Linked DNA regions of Drosophila melanogaster. The protein of the gene in region 3 interacts with the protein of the main gene of each other region in a pairwise test. Each region holds a gene or a part of one and is shown on either strand. Other genes may lie near its edges. The genes, in order: EMC5, Pex3, Syt12 and ninaD.

Region 1 (3,938 bases), on a different chromosome or scaffold from region 3:
CATGCCCCATTGCCCAGGGGGGCAGGGGAGGGGTGGGTTGGCTGCAGGAGGGGCTGCAGTAAATGCAATTTAAATGATCATTAGGCGCATGAGTTTTATGTTGCCATTTAATGAGACGCAAATGCGGTGAGATGCCTGGGAAAGTGGCCGTTGCAGGTGAAAGGAGTGTAAAGGTTGGCGCAAATTGAAAGCCCTAAAATAGTTTTGCAAACTGATTTCTGTTTTTGAATTATCTTGTGTAATAGATATACATTTACAAACGTTTGTAATGTATACAAGTGTGTCTAGTACACTGTATTTATTTAATAATCTAGAGATGATCGTTACTTATCATAAACTATTATTATTGCAACGGATTTTGCTCAGGTGTTTTCAAAAACAATAAACAAAATGTTGGCTTCCTTTTCGCCATATTAATATAATTTATATTGCGCCTTAAAGTGGCTCTGGACAAAAGTAAATATTGCTCGGCGGCCTTCACTTACGTATTGAAGGTCTTCTGGTAGTCCTTGATCTGGTTACGGGAGAACTCGGGGAAGTCGGTGTAGACGTTGACCACTTTGTAGGTGCGACGCACCTCGATGCCCGCCTCCTGGGACTCCATGATCTCCTGGCGCCGATTGAGGATGTGCGTCAGCTCGGAGCTGTCCGTGTTGGTGGTGCTGCTGGGGCTGTCCACGCTGTCCTTGTTGGAGGCGGATGAGGCGTTCGAGGAAACGGACATTGTGTCGCTCCTTGTTGACTCGCTTTTTAGTGTGCTGGAATTTCCCTTTCTGCCCTTTTCTGCTGCCTTCTCACTCTCTCTTCCTTTTGGCACACCCACGCAAAAAGGACCGTAAAAGAGATGTCCGGATACACACACAAATGCGGCGATGCGCCAGGAAAACACACACGGACTCGTTGCACGTAAGCTTTTGTCGTGGGGAGTGGCCCTGAGTCCTTTTTTGGCTTTGAAAAAACAGTTGCAAGGTGCGTTTGAATTGCCGGTCTTTTTTTTTTTTTTTGCTGCAAATTGGCTTTCTTATTGGACAACTGGTGTTCCGCTTCGACCGCCGCGACTACCGAATCTTCTGAACGCTGAGAGACGAATGAAAGTGCGACCGTGACACGAGCGTTCAAATATACCAGCGGGCGCGGCGGCATTTTTCGAGTGACCGTGTGCTGACAAATACCAAAGTCAGCTGAATTTCGAGGCAATATATATACCTTACAATTTTTTTAATTCATTCTGTTACTAATAATGTATATAATCATTATTTAAAGCTAGCTGATGAACAGACGGTTTCAAATTTTACGAAAGTTTTTAACTTTCTTAAGCAAAATATGTAACCGAATATTTATTGTATGTTTATATAGTTATAATATAATTATATAATTAGTTTGATCACAAAATCAATCTTTGTATAATTTTAATGTTGTTCCCAATAAAATATTTAAATTTAAGATTCTTAAATATATTACGGCATATGAGGTATACAGACAACCCTAAACTATCGTCCAAAGCTCCCAGCCCTAGGTGTGCCCGCATTTTGATAGCAATTTAGCAAAATTTTGTAGAAAATTGTACCGACTGTGATTGTAATTCGTAATTGTTCAATAAAAATGGGCAGTAAACTGTTTAACAAACTCTTGCTAATTGCCGGATTTGCCAGCCTGGCACATGCTGCTTTTTCTGCTGCCCATCGTAAGTTTTCGTCACTGTTGTGGTAAATAAACTTTGGACCACTAAGTGCCGCATTTACTCCACAGATCGCACCTATTTGAGGCTGACGGAGCAGGAATGGAATAGCCTTCCATTGGACGTAGGTTTCGGTGCATTTAGGGTGCTTGCATGGTTACTCACGAAAAGTTTTCCTTTATCAATCCTTAGATTATCCTGCAGACCGTCATCAGTTTGGTGATTGTGATTTACAACATCATCGAGATCGTTGGCAACTTCAAGGAAATTCGCGCCACCGTGGACATGCAACAGAAAACTTGGGACACCTTGGGCAACTTCCCCTCGTTCTATTCCTTCAATCACCGTGGTCGTGCCTTAAATCCTGGATATACGCCCCCGGAATAAGAGACCTTTCTTTTAAGTTCTGCTATCCTTTTATTTATAGTCTCAGCAAGTTACAATATAGATAACGCTAAAGATCAACCAAACTCCGTAACCTGCATTCGAAAATTTGATGGATATTGCGGAACTCTTGCCTTGCAACAAGGACAATGCCTTGGCCTCCAGCTCATAGCTGGCTCTTAATTCCCGGCCAGGACTATTATTGCATGCCTGACTGTGACAAGTGCGACAACTGTCGAAGTGGTTACTCCTTAAGAGACATTCGTAGTATAGCTCGGGATTGGAACGACATCCTCTTACAATTTCTTTACTGTTGATGTCAAAGTACTCCAAGCAGGCCAATTCTTGATCCTCCGGCTCATTTGCTCGAGCCGGACAAGGCATAGCCGTTTGTCCCCTGGAGATCTCCTCGCAGTCCTGCACTCCCCTACACTGATGACACCAGAGGCGCTCCTCCGGAAATGATCCTTTGTTGCAGAAACTTCCTTCGCATAGTCGACAACTGGCCACATTTGCGGAAGCACAGCTGAAGTCCGATTTTTGGCAACCTCTCGCAGTGGTGGCGTTGTTAAAGGAAACAACCACACATGGTGCAGCCGGTTCATCGCATTCTTCAATGTAGATTTCGCCAGGACTTTCCCAATTTGCACAGCCTGCTCCCGCTTGATCCGTGCTGCATTGGTAGCACCGGGTGAAATCCTTACTATTACACCCAGCGCCTTCATCGCATTCATAGCACTTGGTGATTTGAGGATTTTCCGGCGGTGCTCCACAGCCTCGCTGAATACTCCAGTTGGAGTACTCACAGGAGAAACAGGAAGAGGCCTCAGCGGAGCTACAAGTGCTATTAGCTATAGCCGTAATATTTGTCCGGCAAAGTTCCTGATCCACGGAGTTGCATGTAAAACACTTCTGCTGCGTAATGCATCCTGCGTTGCAGTGGTCACTGGTATTACACTTTTCTAATTGCTCTACATACGGCTCCAAATCTGTTGGAATTTTAGTAGAACATCCTCTGACAACGCGGCTTAGTCTGCGAAAGCTGAAGCAGTACTTATCCTCTTGCTCACCCAACAGAACATCCTGCTGGCATTCCTCGTATAAGCTAACATTGCACCTGCCGGTGTTGACCTGAAAGAGATCTATCTTGCAACCCCGGCCGATTGCTGAATCGCAGGTGGCGCAGACTTGGGTCCAAGCTCCTTGCTCCTCATTGCAGCCATTGATCTCACACAGTTGGGCGGAAGTGGACAGCGTGTGATTCTGCTCGGAGGTACAACCTCTGTAGGCATCTGAAGAACTTATGACATCCGTGTAGCACTGATCCTCTTCCAAATGATAGCGACAGGGTTTTGGTTTGGATGCTGGAGCTGCCACGCATTCCTGTCCAGCGCAATGATGGCACTTAAGTCGTCCCGGCGGATAGACACCCGCATTGCACAGGTTCGTTGAGCAAGTCTTTGAGTAAGTCGCTCCGATGATGGGGGTTTCTGCTCCGCAGCCGCGGTATGTAATGGAGTCCACTAATTTGTGTGCGATTAATGGTATAGAAAATCGGAGTTACTAAATATTTCAAATATGTATCAATCAATATCAATGGTCTTTACCTTTGAAATATTAATGAATTGCAAAAATAGATTCTATAAAATGGCCGACTATCCGTCGATTTAGAAACAATTACAAATCACATTTAGGTTCACTTACCAATGGACATGGCACACGTCAGCTCGGTAGCGCACTCCTTGTAGGGAAGAACTCCCACTTCTCCGAGGGTCTGGGAACATTCCGGCAGGGCAATGGAATCGCAGTGGTAGCAAACAATGCCAAAACAACGGTCTGCTATTAAAAAAAAAAACCCCTCTAAGGTTACAACGCA
Region 2 (5,739 bases), on a different chromosome or scaffold from region 3:
GCACAACTTATTGTTTCCTTTGGCATTTAGTATTTGCAAGAATACAAAATTATAGCAGGTTTATGGCGACAACAATAACAAGTAGTACTGCAGTATAAGGCTATAAGGCCTTCTCGCTTGCGTGCACAGGTGCGGAAAAGAGATGGCACTTGCGTTTGAGAGAGCGCGCTCCTCCCTGCCCGTCACAAAAAAAACACAAGATGACGCGAGAGAGATAAAAACAGTTAAACAAACGATAAATTTGCTGGAAAATCAACTAAACAAATTTTCCAGGCCGCCGATTGGAACTAGTCTGTCAGTTGGCCCATTGATCAACTAGGATTTGCCGTGCAACATGATAGTCCAGATTTCAAGTCAACAACAACTGCCACGCAGACAGATTTTCTCCGACGCTTTGAAAGACCACGTAGCCGCTAAGCCGCATGAATCAGCGGGTGCGAGTGAGAGCGCGCTAGCGGCCGGCGCATTTCGCATTTTGATATTCGATTTTTGCCACATTTTGTTGAGATTTTCGTGCCTTATTTTCGATCTAAGCATGTACTTACAGAACTCGACCAGCACGAACTCGTTGTCGGCAATCAGCTGCTTGAAGTTGTCCACCGTCGCCACCAGAACACCCTCCTCAACTTTGACCTCCGCCTCGGCGGAAGCGGCCACGTAGGACGCCGCCAAGAAAAGTGCACAGATCAGGAATTTCATTGCGGGCACTCGTCGTCGTTTGATATTTATTGAATCTATTGCCCTATGTGGGTGCAGCACACTCGCCAACCAAAACTGGGATTCGAACTGCGCTGAACTTGCCCGGTTGCAAGTAGAAATTCAAATGAATTCAAGTGACAGTGAAACGCAGAGATATATACATATAAAGCTGAATTAGGTGAGGGATTTTTGGTATTTCTCTACAAGTTTCCGATAAATTTTACTAATATCGATATTTGTCAATGAATGAGCATTGAACTGTAGGTGGCGCTTGGGTGCCCAAAGGTTGGCAATCGTCGAAGGTAAATTTTTTTAGTTTAGGATCTCGTTTATATATTTGAAGTTTTATTTTTATATTTAACTAATTCAGTAATGTACTATTTTTTTTTTAAATATTACGGTTTTTTCGAATACCATAATTTTAAAATATTGTGATATAAATAGTATCGTATTGTATTGTATATAAGTTAACTTGTATTTAACATAAGGCAATTTGTAAAGGCCTTATAATTCTTCTTTTTAATTCATTTTTTTTATTAAATTTTATTTTAAATAACTTACGTCATTCTCTTTATGTCATTTACCCTTTTTAAAATAAAGACTGGTGTTGTGTAAACGCAAAAAAGACTGTGTAATTATTAATGCAGTTGTATTGCTTCTCTGTTTCATTGTAATAAAAAGTAAATATAAAATATTGTATCTTAAAAAGAATAAAACTCATTTCTTAAACAACTTAACAGCACACATGTAAATAATTCTTAAAAAGACAGATATTGGAAGAATATTTTGCGGAATTCAGGAGTCAAAAGCGACCACCTGTTGAATGCATTGTTCGACTATGCTAAAAAGTATTTCCGAAGTCTTAACACTACTAAATGGCCTATCTACAGGAGGTACATGGACAAACAGGCTTCGTTTTCTGTCCATATCGAGCGATTTCAGATAGATATAGCCGCAGAGAAAGTCACCCACATTTTTGGATGCCTTTGTGGCGCTCAGGGATTTGAGATTATCATTATGTGTCGGCTGTTGTGTGGGTCCCACACAATCGGCGCAATTCTCATTTACAACCGCCACAATCTTATCCACATCTAATTCGGTCTTCAAGACATTTGCATGTCCATTGTTGGGTAGTTCGCAAGTGCCGTTGGCCAGTTTTTTATCACAATTATCAGCTCGGCGGAACTTGTGATTGTACGCCAGCTTCTCGATGTATACACACTTGGCAACGCCCGAAACACCGACATGGATAACAAGCTGTTTTTTTTTTGTTTTTTATTTTTTTGGGAGAAAGATGATATCATAAGGCCTCTATCTATTTATGGTTCAATTGCGATGCTTACATATGGCTGGCGTTTCCAAATCTCCGCCACCGCCTCGTCCACAGCCCCGTATTCCACCGAAACCAACCGCTTTTCCAGATCATATTCTATGCCATCGTGAGTTAGGATTTCCGGCAGCAGTTTCACAGCTTCCCAGCTGGCGTTGACCGCTTCGTGACCGAGAAATGGACCAAATCCGGAGACTACAATGAGCTTTCGATCTGACGACGCCATAACAAACACCCCAACTAAACTAAACCCCCCACCAACAACAGAACTATCTTAAATACCATATGATTTCTATCTTCTTCTTCACCCTTTGAATCATGCGTTTCAAATGTTTGCGACGATGGCGGAACGGTGGAAATTGGAGCATATCGAAGTTTTTTATTTTTCGTCATTTATAGGTGAATTAACATTATTTTATATTTTCTATTTTTTTTTGAACCCACTTCGAAATAACGAAAAAATAAATAACTAAAAAGCATCCCCATTTTCAATAAAAATTTAAACAGTAACACCAAATATACTAAACGAAATGGTATTTTTCGGTATTCCCGAACCTCGCACTTTTGGGATTTTTCTTGAACGGAAACAGACGACGCAGTATGCGGCACCAAACAGAGAAATAACACATTTAGCGACAACAACAAAGGATAAATCCATTCCATACATTCCAGAGCTAGATCCGATCCAAAGGCCAGCAATCGACCCGATAAGGCGGCGCACCAGATCCGAGTTTCCGAGCAGGGGTATATAGGTGAGCACTACCTGGTAATCTAATCGCTGCGGATGAGTGGAGGACGCTCCTCTGTTGGCAGCGACGCCGGCAGCGCACCACCCTACGCACACAGGTGAACTTTGCACATTAACTATTTATTAACCTCGAACAGGTCGCCGGTGGAGCGGGAAAAAGTGGGATATCTGAACAGCAGTTGGCCTATTTCACACAGGAAGCGGATTCTAGTTGTCCATCCGGCAGAAGAGGCCTTTTCCAATCGTTAACATGCTGTCGCGCCTGCAGGACTTCTTGTCACGCCACCGGCGAAAGTTCATAGTGACCGGCGTTCTGGTGGGCGGTACCATCTTTGCGGCACGTTATGCACAACGGCGATTCGTGGAGTTCCAGGAGAAACAGGCCAGGGAATTCTTCGAGAGAACGCGGCGCACGACCCACTTTGAGTCGACGGAGAAGACGTGTAACCAGGTGATCCTAGGCATGGGCGAGGAGATGTGCCAAGCGGTTCTGAGGGAGTGCAGCACGGACGAGCTGCTCGAGCAGCTGCGCCAGAATCCCAAGAACAAGTTGGAACTTTGGGAGGACATGAAAATTGTGGCATTCACAAGACTGGCAACCTATGTCTACGCCTCCTCCATGCTGGTTATTGCGTTGAGGGTCCAGCTAAATCTTCTCGGTGGCTACATCTATCGGGACATCATGACGGAACAAAAACAAGTCACCGACGAGCTAAAGCAGCAGTATCTCTCCCTCATCCGACACTTTATCACGGATTCGGGCATCCGGGACTTAGCCCGTTACATTCGCACCCAGGTCATCGCAGTCACCAAGACCATACCGCTCTCCGAACAGCTTTCCCTTAGCGACCTGGAGCAACTGTTTTGGTCACTGCAAATGGCCATCAATGCGGACACTCGTCGGGATCCCAACTCGCGAATGAGCAAGTATCTGCTGCCCAGCCAGAATCCCAGTCATTCGCCGCTGCTGCAAAAGATGGTCAACGAGACGCTGGATCTGTTGGAGAGCGAGGATGCCGTTGGCGTGTGCTCGCACAATGTAAGCCGTGGTTTTGTGCTGGCCTGCGATGCCATCGCCGAAAGCATGGGCGAAACTTTGCAGCATCTGCCACAAGCTAAAGTCCAAACGCAGCAAGAACAGAGCGTCAAGTTTAACCAGGCAGGAAGCTTAGGCGCCAGCACCTCGAAGAGCCAAAACGGTCTGGAGAACAATAACTTGCTGAACATCAACCGAGTGCTGTTGGCGTTGGCAAAGCTCATTCCTATCATCAGTGGTCTCACCTCGAGAGGCTTCGATACCACTTCGCGACCCCACAATCTGCCCACCCAACTGCTAACCTTCTACGTGGTCGCCGAGAAGACAAAGACGCTGGGGGCCAACGTCTACGAAAGCTTTAGCTCCGCTTAGAGGATCAACAAAACTTGGATTATGCATCCGTGCATAGGCTAGGCTAAGACAATTGGAAAATTATAGTTTATATACTTGTATATTTTTAATAAGATCTGTATTCTCAGAAGCATTGTTTGTATGTCTGCTTGAACCCAACCCGTATTAGGTTTAGCTTCGTCCACGGGGAATCCTTTCAGGGCAGGGACACAAATCGAGTAACGTGAAGGCCTTTTAATCTAAATGGAAAGTTAGGAAATGCAACATATGAGAGAATCATATAGGATGGACCTGAGGGTAGTTTAGTATCCAAACTATATGAAAATGTAATTTAAAGTGTAATTGATTAATAGAATGATAAGTGACAGATTATTTATTTATACCATGCTAGAAAGCTTGGGTCTTAATCTTAAAGGAAGTGTAAACAAATGGCAACCTAATAAACTATGCATTCCCCGTATTTAAAGACTATTATTTTGCATATTAAAGTTTTTGAAGGAACTTATTCTTTTTATTCTTACAGCTAATTAAAACAGATATTGATTTATAGAATGATAAATTATACATGCGTACATAGGTGCATACTTGTATTGAATTAATAAGAAATAAATTCAATAATTATGTCGGAGATATACGAGATTCTTATATACTTTTTCCTCCAAGTTTCTAACAGTTTGCGGTTTTAAATGTACATAATATATTAATTTAGTAACGGAGCAACGGTTATCTGATAATCGGGGAACTCGACTATAGCATTCTCTCTTGTTATAAATGCTTAATATGTATAAAAATATAAGAATTGAATTATCGAAGACACAACCCACAAGTAACGGTTGTCTTTGCTATCAGTCAAAAGGGGGTGGCAGAAAACCGCCCTGTGATAAGACAGCTGTGTCTGTGGCTTTTGTTTGTTTGCCATTTCTCTTGTTCTTGCCGCTCTCTCCCTTGTTCACTCTCTTCAAGCACTTGCGCAGAAATGCCGCATGTGCGAAGATTCATTATAATATAACAATTATGAATAACTATCAAGCAGAAAGTAACTTAAAAGATTTCATAAATTGAACCAAGTTTATGCTTAAGGAGGTGAAAGTAATTAGATACATTTACATCACGCTCGCCCCTCTGCGACTTGTTCGCTCTCGCAGGACTCTCTCTTCACATCCGTCTCTCTTACTCCTTCGGGTGCCCAGCTGTCTGGTACAAAATTTCCATTTTGGGCGCAGTTGCAAAAGTTACGTGAAAAGGCAAAGGACAACAGTTACTTTTATACATCCCTGCGAGACTTTGCGTATGTGTTGGTGTAAAAAAAATAATTAAATATACAAAAATGAAAGAAATGCATTGAATAACTGATTCGAAGCCAAGTTAAAACCGAGTGTGCAAATATGAGAAATACTGCAAAAAGTACACAAATTGGAAAAGCCAGCTAAAGGAGGAAAGCCCACCGTCAAACAAACAAACAACAACAACGGCGGCTCAATTGTGTAAGTGCACTTGCAAAATGTTTATTAACCAGTCGATGGGGCTAAAAGCCCACTTAGCCCATCAACTTTTTACTAGCCGACCACAAAATAT
Region 3 (5,937 bases):
CATTTGGCATTATTATACATACTATACAGTGGCACTCACAACATAGTTGCTGTTTGTGTTAGTCGCAATTTACCACAATTTGTACAATTTATTTGCTTTCCCTTTGACTCTTCAACTCGGGAATGCCCCTTTGTTTTTCTGTTTTCTGGTTTTTATTTTTATTTATTTATTTTTTTTATTTGATTCGGTTGCATTTCATTTGCAATTTAGACCTTTTCATTTTTGCGACCCCAGCACTCGTTTTTATTGTTTCATTTTAGCCTGAAATGCGGTTTTCCTTTTCCTATTTTATTTCTCTCATTTTATTTCATTTTATTGTGTTGTATTTTTTTTTTATTTTTTTTTTTTTTGATTTTCTGCCCACCAAGATTTGACCGACAATCGAGAATATCGAGCATCGTGGCTATAGCCCCCTTGTCCGGTGGAAATATCGTTCGCCAAAGTGTCGATTGAAAGCAATTTGATTTGGCGAACAATCTGCTGATTGCTGCTGTCAGAGGAATTGCGAAATAATTCTGTGAAAATTATCCAAACTGAGTGTGCTTTTAATCGTTAGTGGTTTTTTTTCTCATTTTTTTTTTCTTGTATTCAGCATTTTCATTGCGGCGTGGCTCAGCTGGGGATTGGGATATATGCCTTTCGCCTTTTTGGCATTTCGGCAGTGCCAAAAATTGCGTAATGGCCGCAAAATCAAAATGCGGCAAGTTGCAAAATGTGAAATTTATTAGGCGCTTCGGGGCAACGAGAGAGCGAGAGATGTAAAAACATTTCGCGCCGAGCATCCTTTGGGGAGTCACGCTAGATTGACCACGAATTAAAGCCATTATCGGCCGAAAGGCCGACCCTTGTGTGTGTGTATCTATCTATTATTCAGGTTTTCGAGAACTCACCCCCCTTCCCCCCCCCCGCTGCACCCCACCGCCGTTTACCCTGCAAGCCGAGAGGAGTGACGGAAGGCACCCCCATTCCCCTACCCGCACCTATCATTCTTTTAGTTTTTCATTCTCCTGCTTTCTTAATCCGCTTAAAGCGATTCGGATTCGGCAAATGTTAAAATTCCAGGATTAGGGATTGCAGTAACATTGAGTAAGGTCAAACTGTTCTATAGCTTGCGATCCACAAAAGTTACTCCATGACCAACAGGCAGGGGAAGTGGCTAACAGTTGGGGGAAAGTAGCCGAAGTATCGCTGTTACCGGAAATGGGCATGCTGTACAACGGCATTGCCAAATGGGAAAAGTATAACAGTTACGATATATGTTATATGCCTTCCAAGCCGATTTCAGCCCCTTCGTAGGACAGATATGCGCCGCACGTGTTTTTGGTGGAAGTCGTGACACGAGCGAACTGGAAAATATCGCCTAGAACATATTATTCTTATTCGTATATTCTTATTAAAATATTATGAATTCAGTACAGACTTCGAAAACATTAATATTCTAAGATGCGCTTGTTTTCTAAGTAGATTTACGCATTCTTACAATTTATTTACGTATGTAAAAACATTATATGCCCAAAGAACATATTTTTTAGTTAATTTTATACTTTTAAGCACATTTTAAACAAGAGTAATTCTTTTAAAACGTTTTGTAATAAATTTGGTAGTTAATTATTAGAAAGTACAAGTTCTTTAAGATAAATACATTTAAATAGCAGAAAATTTCGCCATAAAAAGCTCGCTTCTATCATTTATCATCACCGTTTTATGGATAAACCTAAGTCGCATTTATGGCGTTTTCCTTTAATTTTATAGAATTTAGGTGAAGTTTTGGCTGTGCCCTTAGATTATGGTGCATTTATAGCATTCGCCAATAGTTAACCTTTGTGTCAAAGCTTGTCCCAAAAGCTCGCCTTTTTTTGCCGACGCAAAGTTCGTTAGAAAGGACGAAGCTTGCATTGTTTTCAAAACGAAAGCTTAAAGCTGCAAAAACGCATATCAAAGAGAAAGTGGAGCAAAGTTGTTGCTGTGTTTTGACCAGCTTTCCCCCAGTTGGCCGCGAGTTTTGGCACCGAACGGTCTACGAAAATGAGCGAATTTTCCGCCCGCACTTCCGCTTCCTGCTCTTCCTCTTTCCGCAGCGTTACTACTTGTTATTATTTGTATTGTTAAATCAGAGTGATAAACTAATATATTTGCCATTTAAATGTGGCCAAATGATCAGCAAGGATAAGTAAGGTAAGCAATTGCTAGTTCTTCTTCTGTTCCGTTCTGTTCTGTTTTGTTTTGTTTGGTAAAAGTGCGAGTGGGAAAAATGCAGGAAAATCCAAATGAGCTGCGTTTCGGTGTGTCTGTGTGCGTTGCTCTAGATTTTTGGCCTTTTATCTTGAGCCTCCATCTCCCTGGCTCTTTCCCATTTCTGATTACTTTGACTTTCGCCCGCTTTTCACTCTCCATTTCACAGTGAAAAGTTTTTTGATTTCTGCTCTTTGTTTTTTTTTCGATGGAAATGGAAAATGGGGTAAGGGCTACAGTTGTCACTCGCCGAACGTGACTGGCGTTCACTTTTCACAGCTTGTCCCATTTCTGATGGCCCAAAAGAGGTCATCTCTGGCTAATTCGGTGCGACACTTTCAGGCCCAAAACCAAATATAGTGTATATAGCATATATATATGGTATATGCGCATACATACATATACATATATCAGTTATCGGAGGAGCCTGCGTGAGTGTGTGTGTTTGTGTGCACCTGCAGCAACAAAAGACAGAGCAAAGAGCCAGTGGAATGACCTCCCAGTAGGTTAATGAAAAGTGGCACTTCAGCTGGCTGCTGCCTCTTGGCCCGGCTAAAAGTTCTTCTAAGCCACAAGCGTTGTGCTACCAACTTGGCCCTACTAAACTAGCCAAATTTTAATGGCCAATTACGACTGAAATTACCGACAGTTTCACCAAATATAATGCTCTTTTTACTGCCTTCTGAAGGGCATTGCTTTATGAGGATTATAAAACAGATTGTGTATTTTCTGTTTTATTTTGTAAGTTTATCGCAGCTAAGAACACCTCTAATTAAAGAGCATCTCAAATCTGAAATCCTTTTAATTTGTTATTGAGTTGCAATCAAATAATATTGTTAAAAATGGAAATTAACATTGCTACAGCTGCAACTCTAGTTTCTTTTAAGCAATTACATAGTAAATCCTTTCTCGTATTACACGGTATCTAATAGGCTACCCTATGCTTTGGTAAATTAATGTAATGCTCTTTTACCCAAGGCATGTATGTATAATTAAACCGATTTAATTCCCAGCTCAATGAACTGGATACGATGCATCTCCGAGCAAATTAATGAGTACAGAGTAGAGAAAATAAATAATCAGGCTTAATGGATCTGGCAATATACAGTGCAGCTTCCCTAAAAGAAATATGCGATAATTCAGTTCCAAATCACAAAGTTAATTAACAATACTAAAAACACATTTTGGATGATTTATGGAAACTAATTTCGAAATTTTGGATAAAAATTTCCAAAAAATTTTAAAATAATTACATTTTTCAAAAATGCAATATCTAAGAATGGTTTTTTGGGTATAACTTCACTAAAAATGGTCATAGAGCAAAACGAATTAACATTTTATGCTCCCTATTACCGATACTAACCATTCCTATCACTTTTTAACGGATTTTGTAAAATTTATTTTTGGCCAAATTTTCGCATTTTTTGTAAGGGGTAACATCATCAAAATTTGCAAAAAATTGAAAAATCCTAGAATTCCCAAATTTGAATGCAAATCGATTGGGATTCAAAAAACAAACTCAACGAGGCATGACATTCCATATTTGGATTATTATTTTCAATGTTTTGATTAAAATACCGATTAGTTTTTTTACAAAAAATCAGGGAAACCATTTTTCCAAAAATTGAAATAATTAAGATCGGTTTTTTGGGTATAACTTGGTTAAAAATGCCCTCACAGCAAAAAGAATTACCATTTTATGCTCCCTATTACCAATACTAACCATCCCTATCACTTTTTAACGGATTTTGTAAAATAATTTTTTGGCCAAATTTTCGCATTTTTTGTAAGGGGTAACATCATCAAAATTTGCAAAAAATTGAAAAATCCTAGAATTCCCAAATTTGAATGCAAATCGATTGGGATTCAAAAAACAAACTCAACGAGGCATGACATTCCATATTTGGATTATTATTTTCAATGTTTTGATTAAAATACCGATTAGTTTTTTTACAAAAAATCAGGGAAACCATTTTTCCAAAAATTGAAATAATTAAGATCGGTTTTTTGGGTATAACTTGGTTAAAAATGCCCTCACAGCAAAAAGAATTACCATTTTATGCTCCCTATTACCAATACTAACCATCCCTATCACTTTTTAACGGATTTTGCAAAATTTATTTTTGGCCAAATTTTCGCATTTTTTGTAAGGGGTAACATCATTAAAATTTGCGAAAAATTGAAAAATCCTAGAATTCCCAAACTTAAATGCAAATCGATTGGGATTCAAAAAACAAACTCAACGAGGTATGACATTCCATATTTGGGCCATTATTTCCCATGTTTTGATCAAAATACCGAATATTTTATCACAAAAAATCTGGGAAACTATTTTTGGCAAAAAACTCAATTTTCAAGTTGGCTCTTTTGGCTATAACTTGACTAAAAATGGTCACAGAGCAAAAATTAGTACCATTTTATACTCCTTATAACCAATACTAACCACCCCTTTCACTTTTTAACTGATTTAGTAAAATTTATTTTTGGCCAAATTTTCGCATTTTTTGTAAGGGGTAACATCATCAAAATTTGCAAAAAATTGAAAAATCCTAGAATTCCCAAACTTGAATGCAAATCGATTGGGATTCAAAAAACAAACTCAACGAGGTATGACATTCCATATTTGGATTATTATTTTCAATGTTTTGATTAAAATACCGATTAGTTTTTTTACAAAAAATCAGGGAAACCATTTTTCCAAAAATTGAAATAATTAAGATCGGTTTTTTGGGTATAACTTGGTTAAAAATGCCCTCACAGCAAAAAGAATTACCATTTTATGCTCCCTATTACCAATACTAACCATCCCTATCACTTTTGAACGGATTTTGTAAAATAATTTTTTGGCCAAATTTTCGCATTTTTTGTAAGGGGTAACATCATCAAAATTTGCAAAAAATGGCGAAAAATTAGAATTTTCCTTTTTGAATACAGTTCGGTTAGGAATTTAATTACGAGTTCAACGAGGTATGATATTCCATATTTGGATCATTCTTTCAAAAGTTCTGAACAAAAAACTGATTTTTTTTTGCAATAAATCAAGGGAATGATTTTTGGACAAAAATGCAGTTATGTGTTCACTGCGAAGAGGTTTGACTGTAATCCGTCATAAGTCCCGAGTTACCTAAGCTCGTTGAGTGCCTGACGTGGCATCAGTCCCTTGCGGATGATAAGGTGGATGATAAAGAGATTCGGAGGTCTGTCAACGGAATGATCCATGACAATGGTCGCGTTGGACCAACCTCCTCCACATCCGCAGCACTTCTACGAGCATGGCGTGTCACCCCTTCTGGTGGCCGCCGCTTTGAAGTGGCAATGCTGCGTCTTCGGTTACAAATTCAATTGAGAAACTGTCAAAGTTTGTGATTGAGAACGAGAACGAGCACCTGTACACGCCCCCCCAAAAGAAAACCCCACACACACACACACACACACACGCACCCACATCGCAATGATGAGGCAAATTGCTCAGTGTAAAGCGATGCGAGATGAAAGTGTTTTTCAAATCTCTAGAATGCCATGCCTCCCATCTATACCCCCATTGTCATCAGTTTCCGATGAAAACATTTGGGTTTTATTTTCGTTTTTTGAGAATGTGAAAACTGCGCACAGATGAGTCATTGTTATCCAGTTGAGTTGTGAAGGAAAACGAAGAAATGCAACATTATACTTTATCTAAAAAGATATGATAAAAGATATCCAATT
Region 4 (5,675 bases), on a different chromosome or scaffold from region 3:
AGTAAAATTTATTCACATCATAGCTTAGCAGATGAAACATTAATATTATACTCTATTAAGTATCAACTTAAAATCATACCATAAAATCAATCAAATTTTAAAGTTAGGAACCTTTTTAAAAATCGTATTTTCCCGGTGACTAACAGTTCTTTAGCTAAATGTGTTTACAAAATGGCATAAAACGCATACTAATACTAAGTGAAAAATGCATATTTAAAATTCTATTTCAGTATTGCCAGTCAGGATGCGAGGGATGCCTTTGGCATAATTGTTTCATATGCTGTGAAGGTCAAGCTTTTCTTGGGAGCCCTGGGCGGCGAGCTCTGCGCTGAGCTACCATTTATTCTGATGCACCCGAAGGTAATAAAAGGTGTGCCCAAATATTTGAATAGTTATTGAAAGGCAATCAATTATTTACAGCCAAGTCGCAAGGCCCAACTGGAAGCCGAGGGCTCCATTGAGGCCTAAACTGAAAGGGCTACCTCAACCAACGAAAAAAATGGCGTATTTCTACAAGTCAAACCGATTTTTGTAGATCCTAAAAAATGCTGATGTTGCTGAAATGTTCTGAACTGCAGTCGTCGTACTTTTCCTATATAGCAAATCCAATATCCATATATTGTATGTGTGTATGTGTATTATATTTATAACTCAACTAACAATTAAATATGAACAGAGTTTATGTATGTATTTTGGAGTATTCTATTGAATTTAGCACGGTGTATTTGAAAAGGCTCCAGCATTGAAAGTTTGTATGGAATGCGCACTAAATATTTAATAATGTGCTTACGAAGGCATTTCGTAGTATTTGATATCTTGCAATGTCTGCTGATTATGTACATTGAAGTGCAATGGGGAAATCAACAGAAGCCAGTGCAATCTATTCAATTACTAATAGTGGGTCTTGCATTTGTGGCTTAGTAATTCCAATTATTGCTACTCTGAAAAGCCGAGGAGCAGCCTAATTAATACTTGGCCACTATGCTGGAGGAAGTTTACTGAACTGAATTCGAGTAAGGAAAATGGACAATAATTGATATAATATGGTGAGCTTCTTGCTGGACTTTGAAATCGTAAAATTTAAGCGAACACACTTCAAACGCATCCATTTAATTTGTGAATGTTTGCAGTCCCACTTTTAATAAGCACCCAATATTAACGATAACGCCACTCTAATCAAAATTTTCCAATAGTCAGGGTTGAAATACTGATCAATCACGCTGCCAACATTTCGGCAGACCAGGTGGGTAATGAGTTTAAAATGGTTTTGCGTAATGGGATTAATCGAATTTCATTAAGGAAGATTAGATTGCCGTCTTTGGAAGTGATCTTTTATAGTGGCTGACCATAAAAATTGCATTGCAAATACTAATTTAAGCATACATGCTATATAACCGATAAGATGGGCGAGCGTCAAGGCAAAAATAGTTGACCGTATTAATAGTTTAATCAACTAGCTTCAAGTTAATTTATAATGCGAATTAGGAAGCACTCTGGCATGCTATTAAAAACTTAAGAACTGATAAACGAAACTTAATTCCTAAAATAAAAATGTACCTAATTACTTTTATATACTATTATAAATAAAATTGTACCATGTATCGTTAAATTTGATTTAGTTACCAAGTGGTATTTGGTACGTGGCAGCATGAAATAGCTACTACTGCTAGTCTGGCTGATTAGCCAGCACTCTCAATAAACTAAGTGCAGCGTTTTGCATTTATCAGGATTTTTGGTACTCTAAACACACACTTAGATCCCAATCACCCCACAGAATAAGTTGAGCAAACCAAACCGAGCTGATTACCACAGTAGACATGATGATTAGCCGCTGCTTTATTTACTAGTGGATAATCTACTAAGCGACGCATGAATAAAAACTCGAGCGATATTTTTCCACTTTGCAGTCGCTCGAAAGCCTTTGTTTCGTCTCTCAATATGTGCTGCAGCTGCTGTGGGGTGACCCAACAAAAGGCCTGGGTCTTCGGCCTGGGAACCTTTTTCGCGGTCTCCGGACTCCTGGCCATAATATGCTGGCCTGGCTTTATAGACTCAGGGATTATGAAGGTGAGAGGCGGTGTATAAAAATAAAATTAAGGAGGAGTACTAATCGATTTATTAAAAAGGCCTTGCCGTTGACACCCACTTCAAAGACTTTTGAAAAATGGGAGGAGCTGCCCATTCCGGTGTATGTCTACATGTATCTTTGGAACTGGACAAATGCCGCAGATGTGCAGGCTAATGGAGTAAAACCTATTTTCGCGCAACTTGGACCCTATGTTTATCGAGAGGAGAGGAAGAAGATGGATCTTGAGTGGCACGACAATGGCACAGTTACCTTTAACCCCAGAAGAACTTGGTTCTGGGAAGAGGAGCTCTCTGGCGGCAAGCAAACGGATTTAATTACCGCCCCACATTTACCTTCATTGGTAGGAAATAAGCAGTTATTAAAAAACAATTTGGTCTAAAAGAAGTTTTCCTTTTTCACTTTTTGCAGGCTGCTTCAAACCAAATGCGGAATAGCAACGTCTTCCTGAAATTCATGTTCAACGAGGCCCTAAATGCGAATGGTGGACATCTCTTTGTGACCCACACGGCAGCTGAATGGCTGTTCGAAAGTTTCTACGACGAATTTTTGCATTACGCCATGACCCTGAATAATCCATTGGTCCCAAAAATCGAGTCGGATCACTTTGCCTGGTTCCTCAACCGTAACGGATCGAAGGACTTCGAGGGTCCCTTCACTGTACACACCGGAGTGGGTGACATCAAGGAGATGGGTGAAATTAAGTATTGGAAGGGCCAGAATCACACGGGATGGTACGATGGAGAATGTGGACGTCTCAATGGCAGCACCACGGATCTTTTTGTGCCCGATGAGCCCAAGGAGAAGGCTTTGACCATCTTCATTCCGGATACTTGTCGGATCATAAATCTTGAGTTCACCGGACAGAGCGAAACAATTCAGGGCATCACGGGTTGGAAGTACGAGATAACGCCGAATACCTTCGACAATGGACAGATCAATGGTAACGCGAAGTGCTGGTGTCCTTTGGAGCGCCAGCCAGATAATTGTCCTGCAACCGGAGCCACTGACCTAGGACCGTGTGCCGATGGAGTTCCCATGTACCTTTCTGCGGATCATTTTATGTACGCGGACGAAAGTTATGGCAGCACGATAAGCGGCTACAATCCGAATTACGATCAAAATAACTTTTATATCATCATGGAGCGCAAGATGGGAGTGCCGTTGAAGGTCAATGCCAATGTGATGATTACCTTGTACATAGAGCCAGACAGCGTTATAGAGTAATTATTTACAATAATTGTTGCCTACCATATATATGACTTGATAAACACATTTTTTCCTAGCATACTGAAGGGCCTGCCCAGCTTCTATGCACCACTTTTTACCACTGCTAGTCGAGCGGAAATCGACGAAGCCCTCGCCTCAGAACTTAGGGTATGTTTTAGAGCTTGTTGAACTACGTTGATTTCTATTTTAAATAATGCATTTTGTCTTTTAGTTGGCACTGAATCTACCGGCTATAGGGAGATATACTGGAGTGGGATTCCTGTGCCTGGGCTGCATTCTTATAGCAGTTGGCATCTTACTTACCATTAAGAGGAAGTGGTATGGCCAGGCCGAGTTGGACAAACTGGCTCTCAAGGATAACGAGGAAACTCCATATGAACCGGAAGTTCCGGCCAACGTGGTCGAACGAAACTTTTAATTTAGTATTAACATTTTTTTTAATGAGCAGCACACGGATGTGATTCAAAAAACATATATGTGATAAATAACTCTAAACATTTTTTATTCTAGCTTTAAAATATAAAACTTCTAAACAACTGAAAAAATTAATAAAATTTAAAAAACTCATATAACTATTGTCTTCATTTTACAATAATTAAATTAGTTAAAGCTTATATTTATCTATGTGGTTTTTTAAATGATTGAGTGAATGAATTTATAGAAGCTTGTACACAAATTTAAATAGGCTCTTTAAATAAAGGTTTTATTTTAGAACATTTTTTAATTGTTTTTAAAATTAAAATTCAAACATCATCTGTGTGTCTTTTTTAGTTTATAATTAATTCATATACACAAAAGAAAAAGAAAATTAAATAAAATCATTAAAATTAAGATTTAAAAAACTCAACAAATTTGTATAATAGTTATGTGATTCCTATACCTATTTAAACGATTTCGTATCTCAGTTGTATTTTCTTTTTTACAGTGCATCTAATGATTTATCTAATGAGTGAAACGAAATATAATCACAAAACTTCGTATAACATTTAACTCAGGCCGTAAAACAAGCCACTTGAAAAAGCTTTCGGAGATTAGCCTATCAGAAGCGTTCCAAGTGGAGAATTCAAAACAAATATAAAAATAAAAAAATCACCTGTTAATTTGCTCTTGAAATCTAATCTTGCATTCCCATTATTGAACATCAATGTATCCCAAAAGTGGGCTCGCTTATAAATATCCCCGTTTAAATTGCTTGACGTACCAGTATCGAAATCGATCGGAGGCGATGCGTTGTGGTTGCTGCAGTGTGCGCCAGCAAAAGATCTGGGTCTTCTCCATGGGAGGCCTGATCCTGGCAATTGGGATTTTTCTGGCCTCAGCCTGGCCAGCCGTATCTCGGCAATGGATTCGAAGTCTTTTGCCCCTGGCTCCCAACTCTTTTATCTACAATCGCTGGGTGACTACGCCCACGCCGGTATATAGCACAGTTTTCCTCTTCAACTGGACTAATCCGGGGGATTTGAACACCGAGGGCGTTAAGCCGCACTTTGAGCAGCTGGGGCCTTACACTTTCAGTGACTTTAAGGTCAAGGAAGATTTGGAATGGAATCAGCCCCAGGTGACCTACTTCGGCAAACGTACCTGGCATTTTCTACCGGAAAAGTCAAATGGATCGCTTGATGATGTAGTTATAGCCCCACACTTTCCTACTTTGGTAAGTCTGATTAAAGGTTGAGTGCTATGCTATTTGACGGCAAAACTTACATTAAGAATACCGAATATCTCTGTCCGAATATCTGTCGCCACATCCAGTAATCCCCTCTAATCCCGCTATACGCTTTAGACAGCTGCTTTGTACTCGCGCCGATTGCGCCGCATCCTGCGCAAGGTCATGAACTTTACTCTCAATCGCGAAGGCGGCGCCACCCATATGACCCACACAGCTGGCCAGTGGCTCTTTGATGGCTATTATGACCATCTGCTTGACTTCGTGGAGCAGCTGCATTCGCCCCTGCTCCCGGTTTACGACAACACCTTTGGCTGGTTCTACGAGAGGAATAACTCAAAGACGGCCGAGGGAAACTTTACACTGCACACTGGCCGTGGGGATCTCAGCCAGTTGGGAGATCTGCTCCTGTGGAATGGAGAGAACACCACCGGCTTTTATCCCGGCGAATGCGGCAAGGTCAATGGCAGCACGGGGGAACTCTGGTCGCCGTACAGGACGTGGGATCAGCCCACCACCATATTCCTACCAGATGCAGCGCGGTACTTGAACTTGTTTCCAAAGGAAAATCTCACCATAGACGGCATTGATGTCTGGCGATACGAGTCCACCAATCTCACCATCGATAATGGCCAGCTGTCGCCGGACACTGAGTGCTTTTGCCTCAAGAATCGCGAGTGCCCGCGCAACGGA

Evidence for each region.
Region 1: the proteins of Syt12 (region 3) and EMC5 interact in a two-hybrid assay, tested with the Drosophila melanogaster proteins (one large-scale study listed by BioGRID).
Region 2: the proteins of Syt12 (region 3) and Pex3 interact in a two-hybrid assay, tested with the Drosophila melanogaster proteins (one large-scale study listed by BioGRID).
Region 4: the proteins of Syt12 (region 3) and ninaD interact in a two-hybrid assay, tested with the Drosophila melanogaster proteins (one large-scale study listed by BioGRID).

What each region holds. Positions count from the first base shown.
Region 1 is NT_033779.5:18,986,187-18,990,124, forward strand, and holds EMC5 (ER membrane protein complex subunit 5), read left to right. Parts: upstream 1-1,520; 5' UTR 1,521-1,602; coding exon 1,603-1,684; intron 1,685-1,749; coding exon 1,750-1,802; intron 1,803-1,870; coding exon 1,871-2,065; 3' UTR 2,066-2,107; downstream 2,108-3,938. Other genes in the region: Swip-1 (Swiprosin-1), read right to left, coding at 486-724; CG15170 (uncharacterized protein), read right to left, coding at 2,108-3,585, 3,767-3,901.
Region 2 is NT_037436.4:15,141,755-15,147,493, forward strand, and holds Pex3 (peroxin 3), read left to right. Parts: upstream 1-2,600; 5' UTR 2,601-2,795; intron 2,796-2,914; 5' UTR 2,915-3,027; coding exon 3,028-4,185; 3' UTR 4,186-4,625; downstream 4,626-5,739. Other genes in the region: Pdi (protein disulfide isomerase), read right to left, coding at 546-699; CG32147 (uncharacterized protein), read right to left, coding at 1,495-1,956, 2,043-2,255.
Region 3 is NC_004354.4:13,357,263-13,363,199, forward strand, and holds the start of Syt12 (synaptotagmin 12), read left to right. Parts: upstream 1-1,985; 5' UTR 1,986-2,175; intron 2,176-5,937.
Region 4 is NT_033779.5:18,079,727-18,085,401, forward strand, and holds ninaD (neither inactivation nor afterpotential D), read left to right. Parts: upstream 1-1,901; 5' UTR 1,902-1,938; coding exon 1,939-2,067; intron 2,068-2,126; coding exon 2,127-2,429; intron 2,430-2,497; coding exon 2,498-3,309; coding exon of another isoform or gene 3,310-3,313; exon of another isoform or gene 3,314-3,370; intron 3,371-3,372; coding exon 3,373-3,463; intron 3,464-3,527; coding exon 3,528-3,734; 3' UTR 3,735-3,882; downstream 3,883-5,675. Other genes in the region: Arr1 (arrestin 1), read left to right, coding at 231-360, 421-468; CG31741 (uncharacterized protein), read left to right, coding at 4,542-4,970, 5,100-5,675.